2 linked regions of the Saccharomyces cerevisiae S288C genome follow. The gene in region 1 interacts genetically with each later gene. Each region holds a gene or a part of one and is shown in the gene's direction. Other genes may lie near its edges.

Region 1 (5,150 bases):
CACAACTTTCTCTTCCTCCATTTCGTTCACTTTGGGGTCTAACGAAATGTTTTTACCAGACCAAGCATATGGGTTCTTCACCGTTTTCTTAGGTGTCAGTATATGCTGCGGTATTATGGGTTTGGAAATTTTGTACTGTATTTTTGAAGACATGTTATCACCCGAGGTCCACTGGGTGTCGTTATACTTCTCAATATCACGATTAGAATATGAATTCTGATCCTCACACTTACTCTGCCAAAATAACCGTGAGAACCAATTAGTGCGGCGACAATATTCCTCTTCCCTTGGAATCGTAGCTGACATGGGTGGATTTGAAATGGACACCGAATTCCTTTTAAGGTAGAAATAACACAAAAGGATAAGTAATCCGAAACAGAATATTCCGATGGGAAGTCCGATTGAAAGCCCAATTGTGCTTGCTGAAGATGATTTTGGCTGAGCCGCCACATTAGAAAAGAGTAGATTAGACGGTGTAGAGCGTATTGATGTCGCTATTGTCGTTACTGTTGTTACACTCGTCGAGGAACTAGCTTGCGAAGATATGTAATTTGATGCTAAGGTAGTAGACATTGCGGCGACTGTCGTCAGCACAGTTGTTGTCGTCTGCATTATTGTTGCTACCATTTTGATTTTCAGAAACTTGATGGCTTATATCCTGCTCTTAAAGGAAAAAAGATAAAGGATGTCGTATCCAAATATTTTAAGAGCAACACATACCTTACAAAGCCACTCTTACATTGTCATTTAAATAAAACCAATCCCGAGAATTACGTTATTTGTTTCAAATTACAGACGTTTCATGTTTGTTTCATCATCGCACCAAAATGAGACAGCGCGAAAAGTGACAGTGCAATTATGCCATTCAATACGTCAAAAAGGGCATCCTGCAGAGATACAACTCTGTTTTGAAAGGGTCCACATGGTAAATATGGAAGCAAAAGAAGGATTGAGGCATCACTGACAACAAAATTGTCTTGCAGCCCAATTAATAAAAAAAAATAAAGTTATATATATAAACAAATACGTAAACAAAGGATAGAAGGCGAACTGAATCATCGTTCAGTAGCGGTTCTGGTTGCCGTTATTGTTCTGTTGAGAAAAGTTGCCAGAAAAATTGAAGGATTCGTGCTGTCCATTGGAGTTCTGGTTTCCGCCGTATTGCGGTCTTCCGTACTCATTGGATTGCTGTTGACCATTCTGTTGCGGTCTACCATACTCATTAGCCTGTTGCTGGCCCCCATAACTCGAATTTGAATTGGAGTTATTGCCCAGGTAGGAACTTGCCATGGAAGCCAAAGCTGAGAATGAACTGGAGTGGCCTTGTTGCTGCTGCTGACCCTGTTGTTGATGCTGATAGTTTTGGCCTTGTTGCTGGTATTGCTGCTGGTTGTTTTGGCCTTGTTGATTGTATTGCTGTTGGTTGGATTGAGTTTGTCCACCACCTAAGTAAGATTGAGCCATGGAGGCCAATGAGGAAAAAGCACCACCAGATTGTCCCTGTTGTTGTTGGTAACCACCGTTGCCACCTTGGTACTGTTGATTATTGTAACCTTGACTATTTTGGTTACCGTTTTGATAGGATTGGTTATAGCCCTGTTGACTATTGTTGGAGTTCTGATTATTATTGGAATGCATAAAAGAGCTTGCCATAGAAGCCAGTGCTCCAAAGGAGGAACCACCGGAGCTTTGATTTTGACCTTGCTGATTATTGTTGTTGGAATTCATGAAAGATGAAGCCAAAGACGCCAAAGCAGTAAAAGAACCTTGACCTTGACCTTGTCCTTGACCTTGACCTTGACCTTGACCTTGTCCCTGACCTTGGGAATTGTTACCTGACTTAAAGAATTGAGAAGCCAAGGCAGCCAGGCCGGAAGCACCCATACTTTGGCTCCCGCCGCCAGAACCACTTAGCATTGACATGACAGTCCCTACGTCAAACCCTCTGTTAGAAGAACCTTTATTTGATGAGTGTGTCATCACTGTGGCTAACAAAGCTAGTTTTCCTAGTTGCGTTTGGGAAGAACCCTTAGAGTCTGCCATTAAAGTGTTCATAAAAGATGAACCACCACCAGCAGCACGATCTTGCGAGGCGTCACTACCACCACTACGGTTGTCCATGACGTATCCTGCGATTTTTTGAATTAATGATTCAATAGTTGACATTTGCTCGTCATTGGGGTTCGACTGAGCTGCGGATGTCAACTTCGCAACAGCTTCTGCATGGTTTCCTTGAGAAAAATGAGACTCAGCCTCTGAGATTAACTTATCCGTATCCATTTCAGATCTTTGCTATACGTTTGTATCGCTATATGTACGTTCTTTTAATGAACTTTCTCCTTTCTTTATCGTGTAGCTTGCTTGGGTATCTTTTAATGAGTTGCGGACAGTGAGATTTTTCAGAAGGGCAATTGGCCAAGACACCAAAAACGTTTGGACGAGACAGGCATCAAAGGACAAGGTAAAAGGCGTTGAGCTGTGGCTGGCTGTGTATGCGTTTGAAATACCATGGATAGATATCAAAGAAAGATAGGATGTTTCATACAAATCCCAAATTTGGGGCGCGGACAACTGAAATACGTGGGTCCAGTGGACACGAAAGCTGGAATGTTTGCTGGTGTAGACTTACTTGCCAACATTGGTAAGAACGATGGATCATTCATGGGGAAGAAGTATTTTCAAACGGAGTATCCTCAAAGTGGACTATTTATTCAGTTGCAAAAAGTCGCATCATTGATCGAGAAGGCATCGATATCGCAAACCTCGAGAAGAACGACAATGGAACCGCTATCAATACCCAAAAACAGATCTATTGTGAGGCTCACTAACCAGTTCTCTCCCATGGATGATCCTAAATCCCCCACACCCATGAGAAGTTTCCGGATCACCAGTCGGCACAGCGGTAATCAACAGTCGATGGACCAGGAGGCATCGGATCACCATCAACAGCAAGAATTTGGTTACGATAACAGAGAAGACAGAATGGAGGTCGACTCTATCCTGTCATCAGACAGAAAGGCTAATCACAACACCACCAGCGATTGGAAACCGGACAATGGCCACATGAATGACCTCAATAGCAGCGAAGTTACAATTGAATTACGAGAAGCCCAATTGACCATCGAAAAGCTACAAAGGAAACAACTACACTACAAAAGGCTACTCGATGACCAAAGAATGGTCCTCGAAGAAGTGCAACCGACTTTTGATAGGTATGAAGCCACAATACAAGAAAGAGAGAAAGAGATAGACCATCTCAAGCAACAATTGGAGCTCGAACGCAGACAGCAAGCCAAACAAAAGCAGTTTTTTGACGCTGAGAATGAACAGCTACTTGCTGTCGTAAGCCAACTACACGAAGAGATCAAAGAAAACGAAGAGAGAAATCTTTCTCATAATCAACCCACTGGTGCCAACGAAGATGTCGAACTCCTGAAAAAACAGCTGGAACAATTACGCAACATAGAAGACCAATTTGAGTTACACAAGACAAAGTGGGCTAAAGAACGCGAACAATTGAAAATGCATAACGATTCGCTCAGTAAAGAATACCAAAATTTGAGCAAGGAACTATTTTTGACAAAACCACAAGATTCCTCATCGGAAGAGGTGGCATCCTTAACGAAAAAACTTGAAGAGGCTAATGAAAAAATCAAACAGTTGGAACAGGCTCAAGCACAAACAGCCGTGGAATCGTTGCCAATTTTCGACCCCCCTGCACCAGTCGATACCACGGCAGGAAGACAACAGTGGTGTGAGCATTGCGATACGATGGGTCATAATACAGCAGAATGCCCCCATCACAATCCTGACAACCAGCAGTTCTTCTAGGCAGTCGAACTGACTCTAATAGTGACTCCGGTAAATTAGTTAATTAATTGCTAAACCCATGCACAGTGACTCACGTTTTTTTATCAGTCATTCGATATAGAAGGTAAGAAAAGGATATGACTATGAACAGTAGTATACTGTGTATATAATAGATATGGAACGTTATATTCACCTCCGATGTGTGTTGTACATACATAAAAATATCATAGCACAACTGCGCTGTGTAATAGTAATACAATAGTTTACAAAATTTTTTTTCTGAATAATGGTTTTGCCGATTCTACCGTTAATTGATGATCTGGCCTCATGGAATAGTAAGAAGGAATACGTTTCACTTGTTGGTCAGGTACTTTTGGATGGCTCGAGCCTGAGTAATGAAGAGATTCTCCAGTTCTCCAAAGAGGAAGAAGTTCCATTGGTGGCTTTGTCCTTGCCAAGTGGTAAATTCAGCGATGATGAAATCATTGCCTTCTTGAACAACGGAGTTTCTTCTCTGTTCATTGCTAGCCAAGATGCTAAAACAGCCGAACACTTGGTTGAACAATTGAATGTACCAAAGGAGCGTGTTGTTGTGGAAGAGAACGGTGTTTTCTCCAATCAATTCATGGTAAAACAAAAATTCTCGCAAGATAAAATTGTGTCCATAAAGAAATTAAGCAAGGATATGTTGACCAAAGAAGTGCTTGGTGAAGTACGTACAGACCGTCCTGACGGTTTATATACCACCCTAGTTGTCGACCAATATGAGCGTTGTCTAGGGTTGGTGTATTCTTCGAAGAAATCTATAGCAAAGGCCATCGATTTGGGTCGTGGCGTTTATTATTCTCGTTCTAGGAATGAAATCTGGATCAAGGGTGAAACTTCTGGCAATGGCCAAAAGCTTTTACAAATCTCTACTGACTGTGATTCGGATGCCTTAAAGTTTATCGTTGAACAAGAAAACGTTGGATTTTGCCACTTGGAGACCATGTCTTGCTTTGGTGAATTCAAGCATGGTTTGGTGGGGCTAGAATCTTTACTAAAACAAAGGCTACAGGACGCTCCAGAGGAATCTTATACTAGAAGACTATTCAACGACTCTGCATTGTTAGATGCCAAGATCAAGGAAGAAGCTGAAGAACTGACTGAGGCAAAGGGTAAGAAGGAGCTTTCTTGGGAGGCTGCCGATTTGTTCTACTTTGCACTGGCCAAATTAGTGGCCAACGATGTTTCATTGAAGGACGTCGAGAATAATCTGAATATGAAGCATCTGAAGGTTACAAGACGGAAAGGTGATGCTAAGCCAAAGTTTGTTGGACAACCAAAGGCTGAAGAAGAAA
Region 2 (6,059 bases), on another chromosome or scaffold:
TGACCGCGGAAAAGTTTAGTATAACAACCACGCATAGAAAGATCGTGATCCAAACGCCCTTGGGAACCGCGGTGGTCCAGTATTCGACCACACCGGATGCCGCCGTACACTCGGCGGCCACTAAAATGACGTAGCAGTAGAAGTAATTCCACCCAGTGGCGAAGCCCAACGAAGGGTCAACGTACCTAGTGACCAGATTGGCCGTCGACCCGGCACTGTCAGAACCATCACCGGGCAAAAAGCACACCATTTCGCCCAGCGCGCACATGATCGGGTAGATCACCGCGGAAATAATAATGTACGATATGAACAGCCCCGCGGGACCGCACGTATGAAGCGTGGATGAAGTCCCCACCAGCAAACCGGTACCGATGGCGCCGCCCAGCGCGATCAGTTGCACATGGCGCGACTGCAAACCTTGTTTTAGTTTGTGCGGCTCGCTATCGCCATCGACGGAGGGCGATTTCTCCAAGTCCACGTCCATAATCAAATCCTCGCGGATGGTGCCGTTGGACGACGCGGACTGGTTCTTAGATATTTTCTCCATACGGATGGCGTCATCTTTTTCATTGTCGCTGCGATGATTATTGCGCGACCCGGACGATGGTGATTCCGTTACCTGGACAACATCCTCCTCCTTCTTGGTGTCGCCGCCGCTACCGTCGCCGCTAACATCGTCCGCGCAGGTGACGACTCCCGCGCTGTGTCTATTGTTCTTGTGGAAGGGCAGTATATTTACCATGATTTATTCATTGATGGTGTGATTCTTCGAAACAGCAAAGAATAAAAGAAACTGGAAGGGAAGAGAGAAAAAAAAAGGAAAGGAAGAGGAACACAAACCCCCTATATATATATAGAAGTACATCAGTCTACAAATATTCGAGTGTATAAGTATGTATATACATATATGTTTATGCGTCTGTATCAGTACATGGATGGAGATATGCTGTGCCTACATTCATGGAATATTCAGATTGGGGCATGTACATAAACAGACATAATTAGTATTTTGGCCGTAGGTCCTGCCCTACCCTGCAAGGTTCTTCTTGTTATCAGCACTGGATGGAGGGGTGAAGCAGATAAAACCCCGGTGTAGTTGGCGATAGGCAGAGTGCAGGCACGATGATAGCGAGGGGTTGAAAACGTCCCATTTTCCTTTGATAGGAAATATCGGGCAGAAGTTGAAAAGCGACAAAAGCGACAGGCACACGCGAACCGGCTAGGCCACCCAAACGTCATAGCTAGCGCAATGAAAAAAACTAACGTCGCTTCCCTTTTGGTTTGATGATGTTTCAACTCGCAGCGCGGGTACCCGGGCTGCCGGAACAAAGCCGTGCAAGTAGCGGCTGTCGTCACGCACCATGGGTACCATCTTGTGCCGTGCCGTGCTACCTCAGATTTAGGACCCTGGAGATTTGGCAGACATGACAAGCAATTTTGACAAACTTGTGACAAGATTTGAACCGCGCGGGAATTCACATTGCAGTATGGACGGACATCCGGCCATCGCGCGCGGGCCCGGTATTTGATCTCCGTTTTAGAAGCACAGAAAAAAATAATATGATGTTATGATGTTTAATAGATGGATTCATATCGTCCGGGTAAAAACGCTTTTGGAGAAATCAAGGAAAATCGCCGAGATCACTAGGAAATACTATTACTATTGAAAAAAAAAAAAAGAAAAAAAAAGGAAAGACGATAATATTTTTGGAAAGAACGCCACCACACGCACTTTACACCCTTCAATCATGAACAATATTCGGGCCTTGCTGGACTCGATACAATCTGGAGTTCAGACCGTTTCTCCAGAAAAGCACCAACAGACGATTGCCGCGATCAACAAATTTCAAGATGATCCTGCACTTCTAGACACCATACTACCGAGATGCGTGCCTCTTTTGACCAAGTCGTTCTTTTGTATGTCACAGCGTGATCAGAAACTTGTTGCGGAGCTTTTCTACAATCTTGACAAGATCTCCCACTCAAAAGTCCTTAAATCATTAGATACAAGTATTTTTAGATTAAACGAAATTTTAAACTATTTACAAGATCGAGCCTCGCCCTCTTCTTTCAGCGATGTCTTGTGCGTCTATCTAAACCTTTCTTGGCTAAGCGTCATTCTGCTTTCACCTTACGCATTCAAAGATAAATTCAACAAAACGCTTCAAGTATCTTCCAGGTTCGAGAACTACCCCATTTGCATACCTCCAATTAACAAGATCAAAGCCGTTTTATATTTCAAAAACTTCACAGATGCCTTTGACCAGCTACCGGAACGGGAACAGGCAAATGTGCCGTTTCTCAACCAATTTTTAAAGCTGTTTATTCAGTCTTCGGAAAAGGCAAACTACTACTTCTCCAATGAAAATCTAAGACACTTACAACAAGTTGCACTGTCCAATGACGGAATAAAGCTGCTGCCAAAATTATTCCAGATTTCGTTCAATCATGGCTCTCATGATATCCTAGATGCTATAGTAGAATTCTTCCATGACCATTTAAGTTCGAATTCCACAGACACAAGATTCCAATTGGCACACTCCTTCGCTAAAATTGCCAAGTTCCTGCACCAGGCAGATCCAGCATCTTTTATCGAGCTCATTGATTATACCATCGAAAATACGGTTTCCCTATTACAGGCTCCTTGCGATTCTATCGATAGCAATGAGCTGCACACTTCCCTTCTGATCATCGCCGAGGTGGCTCTGGCCAAAATTCTGCCTATAGATCTAGTCGACCGCGTATTGACTCTGATCATCCCTAAAACATGTCATTTTCAGAAATCTCACTTTCAAATCATCAAGGGCCACCATATCAGGGACTCGACAAACTTCATTATCTGGTCAGTAATAAGGTCAAACCGTAGCAATAGTTTATCGCCGCAGGTTCTACAATCACTACTTTCTCATCTGTTAATAAACGCCTTTTTTGACCCCGAATTAATAATCAGATACTCGAGTTTTGCCGCGCTCCAAGAATTATTGGGCAGGTCCAACAAATCTCTTGCGCTAAATCAAAATGACATTGCTTTGATATTGCAAGCAAATTGGAAGGATCTACCGAGGTCTTTCGAGGAGAACTCTGGTCTAATTCGTAGGCTGTTCAACCCCGAAAACACCTCCAAAAGTGCTGTTTGCGTATGGAAGGTATTCCGCGATTGGTCCTTCAATTGGAATTTACTAGAGAATTTACATTTGACCACAATGAAACTCAACATAGATTATAACCTAGTTCCATTAATCAAGTCGAAATTATCTTCACCCGCTTTATTGCAAGAGGTATTAAACAAGGCTGGCAGCTCAGTTACACAAAATTGTCAAATTTTGTACTTGTACTTGAAACTATTCGAAAATGACGTAAATTGCCCGAAAATAAGCGAGATTTGTATCGACATTTACCAGAAAAAGATAAAATTCCAATTAACTACTCAAGCGAAAAGACAATTTAACGATAATTCGCCCGAACTGTTTCAAATTTTTGTCATTTTGAAATACTGGCAATTAACAGGACAAAATGATTTCAATCAGGAATTGTTTTGGAAATTTGTAGACATAGTATCCCCACAAAAGAAGTTAAATCTGTACAACGAATTCATCCCTATAATACAGCAAATAATATCTCAATGCGTTAGCCTAAACTACACAAGGATTGTTCAATTAATTAAATCAGATAACGAACTGACTTGCCGATCAATATGTCATATGCCCGATCAAGAAAAGATGTGTTCCCTTTTCTTCTCCCAGTTCCCCCTATTGTCACCTCAATCCAGATCGCTTTTGATAGGCGAACTTGATCATCATTGGGATGTTAGAATAAGCTTACTCCCGTCGAATTCGTATCGAAAATTTCGCAACATCATTATCAACTGTCTCGATGATTATACAATAACTCAACAGGGTGATGTAGGACGTCTGGTAAGAATACAGGCTTTAAAACTTATGCAATCCCATCCCGATTTCTTATCTGGTGATTGCGACTCCATCAATCCAAAATTAACGAGATTGCTGGCGGAACCTGTACCAGAGATCAGAAAACTAAGTTATCAATTACTTGCTTCGGCCACATCACAAATCACTGTGTTATCTGACTCTTCGATACTCAATTTCCGTCACAAGCAAGGTTTAAGTGAAGAATTCTGGAAAGGATATGCAGTGAGCGCTGGAGCAATACATTTTACAGATTCTCAGCTTACTTCATCAATAGATTCATTTATCGTATACTACAGATCTTTGTCTCCTTCACAACAGCTGGAATTATGCCACGATTTAATCAGAATAATTCCAAGCGCTAAACAAATCGCTGAATCAAGAATACGCGATCGTAACAAGGATCCATTAACAGGAGGTATGAGATTTGACACCATCAAATTCACCATTCATTGTGTAAAATTTTGGACTAGAATCATGGAATCTGGGTTGGTTGTTCTACATCCAAATTTTAATTTTCAGGGTGTTTTCGCCAAGTTCTATAACCTACATTTATTAGATTGTACGACATTGAGAGTAAGCGTGATCAAATTCTTCCCGTTCTTGGCAATATCTTGTTACCACACAATGAGAGAAAATGCTGACCAGAAGAATCTATCCAACATAATACTGAAAAGGTTGTTGGTTCTTGTGAAACGTGAATACGCCGCAACAAAATCAAAATTTATGACTGATCAAAATGTCGCTTTACAAGGTATGTTCCAGATATTTTTGGAATTAGGTGTCACCAGGCAACTCCAAGCTCTACAAGTGGCCTGCCAGAAACATGAATTGGCGAATATATTAGAGTCTGATATCACTTTATAGAATGTAAACGGCAAATTTTACATATAATCATTATTTTTGTTGCATTTGCTTAGATCTTATGTAAGAAAATAGATTTTCTACTCTCTTTGCATAGGATACATCCGCAGCAAAATTATATTCCGCATCATTTGCGGTAAATAAAGCTTCATTCCGCATTTCTTTATCTCTTTTTGCTTTAGATTTTTGGAAAATTTCTGAATCCATATGAAATAGAGTTTTTCGCTCCCCAAAAATTTTGCGCAATTCCATTATGTTTATTGGTTGAATGGTCCCTTTTTCTGACTTAAATGGTTTATTCTCAACATACCATTCGCCGACGTCATCTGTTATCTGCAAAACTCTATCGGTGTTTTCTTGTATATCAATTTCTAAGCTGGATAGCCATTCAGAAATTGCATCTCCGATTTGTATTGGCAACCTCCACGAAAACTTATCACTAAACTTATCGAAAAGAAAAAATTTGTGACTTTGTGTAACCAACAAATTATAGAAAGCAAAATAGAAAAAATCAGAATCAGAGTAGTTTTTGCAGACTTTCAACATCGAGAGAAAATCGTGGGAGGTAAATTGATAGCCGATTTCATTCAACTGGTTATACAATGCCAGTAGAGTAAGTTTGGTAGAAATATCTTGAGAGGCGCCATGAAAGAGGCAATGAAAAGTGGAATTTTCTTTGTTTCCAACTATATTATCTGTGAGTAATAATGGCTGCCATAAATTTTTTTCGTATACTATGTGCTCGACCAATGAAAGCATAAAATCGAAATCCTTGCGCACAGATAAGTGACACAGTAGCATATCAATAAAAAAAGCTCTTAAGGAATGCAGGTTGGACTCAGCCTGCATTTGGTCATCAACCTCCTTAATGTGCTTTTTCCATACTTCTAAGTTCAGAGGCAAATCACTTAATTTAAACGATAGAAATTGAAGAAATGAATCTTGCTTGAGAGGTTCGAAATTATCTTTTGATAAAATATGTATGCTCTGCTTCAAACTCACGTCAGTTGGTAATTTTTCAAGTCCGAATTGCCTAGTGACAGCGGTAGTTGATGATAATCCATTCATGGTTTCAATAACTTTGAGGCAAGAATGGTTCTGGGATAATTGTATCAAGTTGGAGGAATCATGCTGATCAAAATGAAAGTTCCATTCAGACAAGCTCCTTAAAATCTGACAAGCTTCATTCTCCATATTTTGTGCTATCATTACTTTTAGACTTTTGACTAGGCATGGACTAAATAACTCCAACAATTGAATAGCTCTTTC

The links.
Region 2: mutations in BIK1 (region 1) and CIN1 together harm fitness more than expected from each alone (negative genetic interaction), as found in Saccharomyces cerevisiae (5 studies listed by BioGRID, with this or other methods).

What each region holds. Positions count from the first base shown.
Region 1 is NC_001135.5:67,280-72,429, reverse strand, and holds BIK1 (Bik1p), read left to right. Parts: upstream 1-2,508; coding exon 2,509-3,831; downstream 3,832-5,150. Other genes in the region: FUS1 (Fus1p), read right to left, coding at 1-627; prion domain-containing protein RNQ1, read right to left, coding at 1,063-2,280; HIS4 (trifunctional histidinol dehydrogenase/phosphoribosyl-AMP cyclohydrolase/phosphoribosyl-ATP diphosphatase), read left to right, coding at 4,097-5,150. UniProt on the Saccharomyces cerevisiae protein: Required for nuclear fusion, chromosome disjunction, and nuclear segregation during mitosis. Probably required for the formation or stabilization of microtubules during mitosis and for spindle pole body fusion during conjugation.
Region 2 is NC_001147.6:988,041-994,099, forward strand, and holds CIN1 (Cin1p), read left to right. Parts: upstream 1-1,748; coding exon 1,749-4,793; downstream 4,794-6,059. Other genes in the region: proline permease PUT4, read right to left, coding at 1-742; MNE1 (Mne1p), read right to left, coding at 4,824-6,059.